Linked DNA regions of Saccharomyces cerevisiae S288C. Changing the gene in region 2 together with the main gene of any one other region gives a genetic interaction. Each region holds a gene or a part of one and is shown on either strand. Other genes may lie near its edges.

Region 1 (4,707 bases), on a different chromosome or scaffold from region 2:
GATTTTGACAGCTGGAAGCAGGGAGAAAGCCGGATGACCGACAGTGTTTTGGTTAAATCTCCACAGAAACCTATTGCACCTTCCAACCCTCACTCATTCAAACAAGCGACATCTATGACCCCTACACACAGCCCAGTAAGAAAAAATTCAAACCTCTCGCCCACTCAAATAGAATTGTGAGTTTGGTTGTACCGTGTAGAGGACATTATGATAGAATGTAACGATATTTATTCAAAATAATTATTAATATTATTGTAAAACAAAGAATTTTTTTTTTTTTTTTAGTTGAATAAGTGCCTGATAAATTGAAAATAGTAATAAATATTCTTAATGCCGTAAGTGCTATTAAGATTTTCTCGTAATAAACAATAGGACATTAAATGAGGTTATTTTTGTAATAATTATGTAGTTATATGTCCATCAAAAACTATTTCGTTCTCTACTACTTGGATTTGTTATATGATGGAAGAGTGATCGTGTTATACGCTGACAGATTTTCGTTAAGTTATTACGGGCTTGGATTCACAGCCTGGGCAGTTATGAAGGATTTCATGGATGAACACATCGCAGTCAACACAAAATTCTTGTTTACAATCTTCACAACGATAGCGAGAACTTGTCAGTAGTTTACCATTTTTATGGTTTTTCAGTATGGGAAATCTTGACTGGCAACTAAAGCAGTCTTCTGATCGAAATTTTTCTGTTGTAGGTACTTCTGCAAATGTTTTTAACGGCATCAGATGGTGATATGATCTGGCCAGGTGGGTAGAAAGGATTAGCATCAAGTCACAACATGGACAGACTGTGGGCAATGAACAAACTTTACTATGACAATTGGGACAGAAGTATCCGCCGTAAACTAACTTGGAATGGCACGAACAAAAAGTTGGAGTATCTTCGAATATCCTTGTCGGAAACCCCATCTTTACGAGTGTGAAACCCTTATTAATTTTGTTAACGGGTAAAGGGGTAACAGCCTCGTTAAATAGCTCCTTTAAGTGAGTTTCATCGAGTAAAATTTTATAGAAGGATTCATCACCATAATTCGTTGCCTTGCATAATTCTTTACATATGGCCACTTGAGCTGATAACCCCAAAACCTTCACTCTAATTTTCTCAGAAACTAACGAATCGATAGTTTGGTGAATATCTCCAGGATCAGTTGTGGAAAGACTACCAAATACAATCAGTACTTCCCTTGTACAATGCGCAGGAACAGGCAATAAAAGGCCTCTTGCCATTTCCAATGCATTTTGCAATGAAGGGTTTCCTTTCGGTTCTTGTTTCCTGATGGATTTCAACGCATCAATGTGATCCTGCGGGTTTCCGCTAACTTGGCTGACCAGTTGTGCCAAACCGTTTCTCATTATGATAATACCCATTTGAGATATCGGATTTTGGTCGAAAAATTCATGGACAAAATCTATGGCGTACTGGATAATCATGGCATGCCTGTTTGGTCTCAAATCCTTTTCCAACATAGCTTCACTACAATCTAGTGTTAATATTAAACTTCTGATAATACCTCTTTGGTATGGCGTTATGTTTTTCTTAGCAGTACGTTTCTTTCTGGCCTCGACTATGCTAGCCACAAGAGATGCCATATCCCCTTCATCGTCCACTTTCACCAAATCCCAACTTCTCTTGATCTCATCCTCCCAAGCGTACCCACCATTTGAACCTTGCAGGTTTCTATTCGAGAGCCTTTTCTTCTTCTTACGCTGCACATGTTTATCCCTATCCCTGTGGCTTGAACTGTGCTGCTGTTGCTGTTGGTCTACACGATCATCTCCCTCGCCATCAAAATGAACTTGTCTCTTAGTTCTTCTAGTAATGGCAACTCTATCCTCATCCTCTTCAGATTCTGAAATAACTACAGGAGCCATTCTACTGCACAATCCTTCCGCACACACGCAATTAGCTGCCGACTTGCCCCACTAGTAATCACCTGCATCTATATAAGATAAGATGAAGACCTTTTACGTATCTTGAAAAACTATACAATAGCAAAGAAACCTACCACCCAGACCCTGTGCGGAGTATCTCGAACTTCCAGTATATTACTCTCAAGTAGATGACGCGTAATAGACAGGTTTTATTGGCAAATTTCGAGTCGCTATCATTATCAACATTAATTATAGGGTGGTGTTTGGTTGGTTCGAGTGCCGTCATAACTATTTGTTTTTTTTGCATATCTGGTTGATCCTCCTTAGTTAATATAGTCTCTTTGAGTTTCCCTTAAGGAACTGTCATTTGGTCCGGCGGAAAACATGGTGGTGACAGACAGCCTTTTCAGAGGTGATGAGCAATCTCGATGAGCATCTCAGCGGGTGCATATATACACGTATATAAGATAGTTCAAAGTATGATAGATTAAAGTTTACTTTGTTGTTGCTGAGAAGTAGTGAGAGTGTCAGCAAATCAATACAATGAAAAACATGTCACAACGATCCATGGACGTGGAGAAGAAGGCAGCTAACGCTGATAGTTGTTCCGTAAGTACCTCGAGCATTAATGTAGACGATGCGGACGTTGCTTTAAGATTCCTGAAACAGAACGGTCTCGACGAAAGCTCCACGGCTAATGAAGACGATGTTGTAGCAGGCGAAGAAGCCAACTTCTATGGTTCCCATGAATTATCTCCTAAGGTCCTGAGAAAAGTTGACCTCTTCATCCTGCCCTTTTTATGCTGTACATATCTTCTGATGTTTTTGGATAAGGCTCTGCTGAACTACGCTGCATCTATGGGTATCAAAGATCATTTGAAAGGTAACGAATTTTCTAATTTGGGTACTATCTTTTCTGCTGCTTACATTTTCATGGAACCTGTGGTCACTTACTTAATTCAAAAATTCCCCATTTCCAAAATCCTAGGTACTTTTATTACCGTCTGGGGTATCGTGTTGGCTTGCCATGCTGCTTGTAAGACGTACGCCTCGTTGATGGTCGTTCGTACTCTCCTAGGTCTCTTTGAATCCTCGAGTGCAGTTGGTTGTATCGCTATTAGTGGTATGTACTATACTAAATCTGAACAGAGTGCAAGAATTGGATTCTGGGCCACACAGGCTGGTACAGGTTATATTGTGGGCGGGTTAATTTCTTTTGGCTTTTTACATTATCATGGTACCGCTTTCACCTCTTGGCAAATAATGTTTTTGGTCGTTGGTCTGGTTACAGTTGCGTTTGGTGTTCTAACATTCTTATACCTTCCAGATAACGTCACCAATGCTTGGTTCCTAAACAAAGAGGAAAAAATTCAAGTTGTTGAGCATATCAGAGCTAACCAAACTGGCCTGGAAACAAAGAAGTTTAAGAAGCAGCAAGTTAAAGAACTATTCCTTCATGATAAGTTTACTTGGCCGATGCTTTTATTAACTGCATGTTCTCAAATTTCTACTGGTGCCATTGGTACATTTTCAGTGACCATCACTGGTACTTTTGGTTTCGACAAGTACGAAACAGCATTACTGCAGTTGCCTATTGGTGCCATTACGGCTATGATTATTCTTATAACAACTCAAATGTTGTCCCGCTGGGGTCATATCACACTCATAACCACATCTATGTATATTCCAGCTATTATAGGTTGTATCGTTCTTATCAGTTTACCCTTATCCCATAAGATCGGTAACTTATTTTCTCTGTACTTGCTTTACAGTGGTTCCTGTGTCATTACCAATATTTACATCTGGAATTCATGCAACACCTCCGGTTACACCAAAAGAGTTTTTAGAAATGCTATTACAATGATTGTATACAATGTCTCCTGTATTATTGCTCCACAGATGTTTAGGGCATACTCTGCTCCACGTTACATACCAGCAAAGATTGCCTTATTGGTCACTCAGTGTGTTTGTGTTCCCCTACAATTATACATTGGCTACATTTGCAAGAAGGAGAACGAAAAGCGTGATAAGGAACAAGAAGGTCAAGAAAGGAAGAAGTACCAATTTTTGGACTTGACTGATATCGAAAACAGAAATTTCAGGTACATTTACTAATAATCAACTTTTAATTTACAATATATAATATTTTTAGTCTGTAATATTCAATATTCAAAGACACCCAAACATTCATTGCACTTGGTATTTACCAAAAAATTGAAGAGAAAATTTTTGAGATGACCATGGATGAGGCAATGAAAGTCGAAATTTGATCCCCGCTACTAACTTCTAAACATATCGTCAGGACAATTGAGCTGAAAATGTCTAATCCAGATGATTTAGATGATGGACTCGCCTATGATTTTGATGCCGAACATGAAGTAATTTTTGACGCCAAGGATGGTAGTCCCCCAACCAAAAAGGTACAAAAGAGGTCTATAGAACAAGATGACGATGACGTTGATGATATAGATGGGAAAAAAGAGGAGAGAAATTCAGAAGATGATTCGAATAGACCTATTTCGAAAAGACAGAAAAAGCTACAGAAAAAATCAAAGCTAATTGAGAAAAAGAAAGAGGAAAGCCAGTATATCGTCTCACAACGAAAAGCACTTCCAGCAAGTTCACCAGAAAAAATTATTGAGTACCTAACAACTTTGATACGAGAAAAAAATCCTGACTTGAGTGTTTTAGAATTAGAGGAACTTTACTTCAAAAGAAATGATTTTCTTTCGACAGAAAAATTTGACGCTGAACGCAGATTAAGCAATTTCCCAGCCTTTATTCAAAAATTTTCCGTAGCTCCAAAAAAAATTGTTTTTTC
Region 2 (4,941 bases):
AGCTTCGGTTTCTCCTTTAGTCTTAGGAGGTGCAATACTGAACCAGCAATATACAGATGAGCCAGAATCCATTCCACTGGAAGACATAATCAAATACGCATTTTCGCATGGTATCAATGCAATTGACACTTCTCCCTACTATGGCCCTAGTGAGGTTCTTTATGGTAGGGCACTGTCCAATTTAAGGAATGAATTTCCCAGAGACACTTATTTTATATGCACAAAGGTTGGGCGTATTGGTGCGGAAGAGTTTAACTATTCTAGAGATTTCGTGAGATTTAGTGTTCACAGATCGTGCGAAAGATTACACACTACATATCTCGATTTGGTGTACTTGCACGATGTCGAGTTTGTCAAATTTCCAGACATCTTAGAGGCATTAAAGGAATTGAGGACCTTGAAGAACAAAGGAGTTATCAAAAATTTTGGCATATCAGGCTACCCAATCGACTTTATCACCTGGCTTGCTGAGTACTGCTCTACCGAGGAAAGTGATATTGGGTCATTGGATGCAGTATTGTCCTATTGTAACTTGAACTTACAAAACAATAAGCTATTGAACTTTCGAGAAAGACTGCTACGCAATGCTAAACTGAAAATGGTTTGCAACGCATCAATCTTGAGCATGTCGCTACTAAGGTCACAGGAGACAAGACAGTTTCACCCGTGTTCTCATGAATTGAGAGAATGCGCATCTCAGGCTGCCAAATACTGTCAAGAACAAAATGTCGACTTAGCCGATTTGGCCACAAGATACGCGATTTCGGAATGGGTAGGAAAGGGACCCGTTGTTCTTGGAGTCAGTAGCATGGAAGAATTGAAACTTGCTCTGGATAATTACGAAATTGTGAAATCGAATGGCAACAGATTATCTTCTAAGGACGGACAACTAGTAGAATATATCCAAAAGAATATTTTTAAAGAACATTTTAATGAAGAGTGGTCTTCAGGTATTCCTCATCCAGAAATGATATAATCACCCCAAAAAGAAAAAAAATTTGTCAAATTTTAGTTTATATTCATTTGTTCTATTTACATATGTAAGTTTTTCCTTTTCTTCTTTTTTAGTTTTTTCCTTTTAAAATTTCTTCTTCTGCAATTCCTCTAAATATTTTTGCTTTCGTCTTAACTTTTCCTTCAGAATGTCATCTCCAGCCTTCATTTTGTCATTCCATTCCACTATTCTTCGCAATATACTCATCACGGTGAGTATACATATATAAAAGTAGATGATGAAGCCTGAAATGTAAACATTCCTTTGGTTATATGCCCTTGAAGCCAGTGCATCCACTGGGGTTACACTATTTATTATATAGGGATTTTTCTGGTTGCGGTACGTAGACACTCTGATCTGTGACCTTTTCCATGAATCGATGAACAAAAGACCAACGAAGATCATGATTCCAACCATATAAGTTCTGAATTTCTTATTAGTACTTATGATACTGTAGCGTATATACAGCCACCTTCTCATACGCTGTGGAAGCGGAAGTACCAAAATAAACAGAATGGCCATTTCGATGACCAGTAACGAAAAGAGTACTGCCAAATAAACACCCATCACTAACTCGACTTTGAAATTTTGCTTAGTATTTTTCTATTCACATAATTCATGCTCCAACGAACACTCAGCGTATTTATTTACTTCCAGGCGGCTAGCTTTTCTCAGAGAAGGCCAGCTGTACATATATTGCTCTATCAACCCTTTTTTTTCCCTTGTCTTTTTTCCAAGAAAACCATTTTGCCTAATTGACACAAGCCTACACAACCAAGTTAGCCGTTAAACACAGCAGACGTATCTCGATCTCGTCAATGATATATACGTGTTTTTTGGAAGAATGAGATGGGATAGTAATACACCAAAAATGGGCTGATCATCCGATGTTATTATCAACCATTGGTGGATGGTCAAGACAGCGGCGCTAAATGCCACAGCCTCGATCCGGGTAATACTTATTTTGAGTTTTTTCAGCTGGGACGAATTATCATCACTAACAAGGACAATGAGTATAGCACTGCACACACACACGTTTTATCTTTACGTTATACGTAATTTTTCCCTCCTTTTAATGATGAGAATTTATTAATACATTCATTTGAATGGGAATTTTACTTTTACCTTCCTCAAATTTCTTTATCAAAACTCAAGTTTTCCTCTCTTTTCATCTCCTCTTCCTCTCCTTTCTTTCTTTCTCTCTTTCTTTTTCTCTCTTGGCTTGCCTTCTGCTCTCTATTCTTGATGAAAATTCTTAATTTGATCCAGGGAACGATAGGAAGACAAGAGAAGAGGTTGTAAACGTGAATTTTGTAAAAGTCCCCAATCAAAGAAACACTTTTGGTTGCCCACTTAAGAAAGCTATTTAATATTAAATCTTTCCGTACACATCAATTTTTCGACATATATACAAACACAAGCGCTATGTCATATTACAACAGGTATAGGAACAAAAGAAGAAGCGATAATGGTGGAGGAAACTTAAGTAACAGTAACAATAACAATGGTGGTATGCCATCTGGACTATCCGCATCAGATGCAATTTTTGATCTGGGTAAAAATAAGAGGGTCACGGTAAGACAATTTAGAAACATAAATTTAATTGATATCCGTGAGTACTATCTGGACTCATCTACAGGCGAAATGAAACCTGGGAAGAAAGGTATTTCGTTGACAGAAGATCTATACGACGAATTGCTTAAGCACAGATTGAATATTGATGAAGCCTTGAGAAGGCTAGGATCCAAGAGACCAAAAACCAAAATGGTTAGACTATTGTCCGACGACGAATATGAAGATGATAACAATAATGACAGTACTAATAACGACAAGGATAAAAACGGGAAGGACAAGAACAGCCCAAAGAAGAGGAGAGAAGATAAGTCCAAAGCATCTAATGAGAGTCATGACTTGGAGCCACGTTCAAAGAAGAAGAAACCTGCTCCACCTACTCTACTTCCACACGAGGAAAACATTCAAAACGCTGAAAGAGAAGCCAATGCTACTTTGATCATCCCAGGCCAGGCAGGTAGGAAACAACAAGAGGAACGCAAGCAAAAGGAAAAAGAAGAGGCAGAGGAGGCAAAGGCAAAAGCAGTTGCAGAACAAGAGAAAGAGGCAAAGGCAAAAGAAAAGATAGCTGAACCTGAACCTGAACCTGTACCCACACTTCAAGCTAAAAAAGAAGATATTGTCTCCAACATAAACGAGTCAAAAGATGCAAATTCTAGTGACGAAGAATTTGCTCAAAGCTTGGAAGCTGAAATGAACAAGGCTGAAGACGACATAAGTGAAGAAGAATAATAGTCCTGGAAGTTGAGCTTGCTTATGTCAACGTCTTCCATCCAACGAGCTTATTAGAGAATAAAAAAAAAAAAAAAGAAATAAAAATATATACTTTTCTGTTTGTCAAATTCATTTTAACAATTCATATAATCAAATATGTGATTTATAATAACCAGACAAAAGTTAATCTTGTACATTTCAGTATAATATACTATCAAAAAAAAATTTGCGCTTACTAAGCATTTTCCCCGTACAACTAGTACACAGTGAGAATGGAAGAGGGTAAAAATTCATTGTTCGGAAAAATAATATATTAAAGGCAAGCCAAAAAAAAAAAATTTAGACTAAGAAAAGAATAAAGATATCTTTGCAAGGCAGAAACCCATTCGATCAGCACAAAAATGACCACGAACGATACATACGAGGCTACTTATGCCATTCCCATGCACTGTGAAAATTGCGTGAATGATATAAAGGCATGCCTAAAAAATGTCCCAGGAATCAATTCATTGAATTTCGATATAGAGCAACAAATAATGAGCGTGGAAAGCTCAGTAGCCCCTTCAACCATCATCAACACCTTGCGAAACTGTGGTAAAGACGCCATCATAAGAGGCGCCGGGAAGCCGAATTCTTCCGCGGTCGCTATCTTAGAGACCTTTCAAAAATATACTATAGACCAGAAAAAGGACACCGCCGTGAGGGGCCTAGCAAGAATCGTTCAGGTTGGAGAGAATAAGACTCTTTTTGACATCACTGTAAATGGCGTCCCAGAGGCGGGAAATTACCACGCCAGCATTCACGAGAAAGGCGACGTCTCCAAGGGCGTGGAATCTACTGGTAAAGTTTGGCACAAGTTCGACGAACCCATTGAATGCTTCAACGAGAGTGATTTGGGCAAGAACTTGTACAGTGGGAAGACCTTTCTGAGCGCTCCCTTGCCAACATGGCAACTTATCGGCCGCAGCTTTGTCATTTCCAAGTCTCTGAACCACCCAGAAAACGAGCCTTCCTCCGTTAAGGACTACTCATTTCTGGGAGTCATTGCGAGAAGCGCTGGTGTGTGGGAAAATAATAAACAAGTGTGTGCGTGTACCGGAAAGACTGTTTGGGAAGAGAGAAAAGATGCCTTGGCCAACAACATCAAATAGAACATCCAAGATAGCACAACGTAGCGTAATACAGATATAACATAATATAGTATACTACATCATAACCACGTGATGCCGGACATGTACATACGCATGTGGCAATATGCCAAAGCCGGTTTCCAATCCTACTTCATATTGCCTTGTCCCTCCGGTTTCGCCGGCAACAACGGCCCGGAACGTACCTAAAGAGGTATTTCGCTCTTGGTATCCGTACCTCACTTATCTCCAGCACCTATCGTTCCTGGCCAGACGGCCGGAGTTGATCTTTCGTCTTTCTCCGGAAACCACGGCGTTCAGCTACGCATTCCGTAGCAGCCAAGCCGGTTCTTGACACCATCTGTCTACGTCATACATATCGGCTCTTTTTGTCTCTAATAAATTAAAGAGAGCCATTTATACGAAAAAAACACCTTTTTACGAATTTCAGAAAATCAGAATGGGAAAAACAAACTGCGGAAAAGAAAAACAAGACACCGAAAATATATACAATTTCCCCTCTACAGACAACAT

Evidence for each region. Genes that interact genetically often act in the same process or in processes that back each other up.
Region 1: mutations in SUB1 (region 2) and SSL1 together harm fitness more than expected from each alone (negative genetic interaction), as found in Saccharomyces cerevisiae (3 studies listed by BioGRID, with this or other methods).

The regions. Positions count from the first base shown.
Region 1 is NC_001144.5:157,228-161,934, reverse strand, and holds SSL1 (TFIIH/NER complex subunit SSL1), read right to left. Parts: upstream 1,887-4,707; coding exon 501-1,886; downstream 1-500. Other genes in the region: mitogen-activated protein kinase kinase kinase SSK1, read left to right, coding at 1-180; THI73 (Thi73p), read left to right, coding at 2,430-4,001; CMS1 (Cms1p), read left to right, coding at 4,205-4,707. UniProt on the Saccharomyces cerevisiae protein: Component of the general transcription and DNA repair factor IIH (TFIIH) core complex, which is involved in general and transcription-coupled nucleotide excision repair (NER) of damaged DNA and, when complexed to TFIIK, in RNA transcription by RNA polymerase II.
Region 2 is NC_001145.3:347,001-351,941, reverse strand, and holds SUB1 (chromatin-binding transcription coactivator SUB1), read left to right. Parts: upstream 1-2,419; coding exon 2,420-3,298; downstream 3,299-4,941. Other genes in the region: D-arabinose 1-dehydrogenase (NAD(P)(+)) ARA2, read left to right, coding at 1-976; YET2 (Yet2p), read right to left, coding at 1,079-1,561; copper chaperone CCS1, read left to right, coding at 3,682-4,431. UniProt on the Saccharomyces cerevisiae protein: Plays a role in the release of TFIIB from the transcription complex during transcription initiation. Binds to TFIIB and specifically inhibits the formation of the TBP-TFIIB-promoter complexes.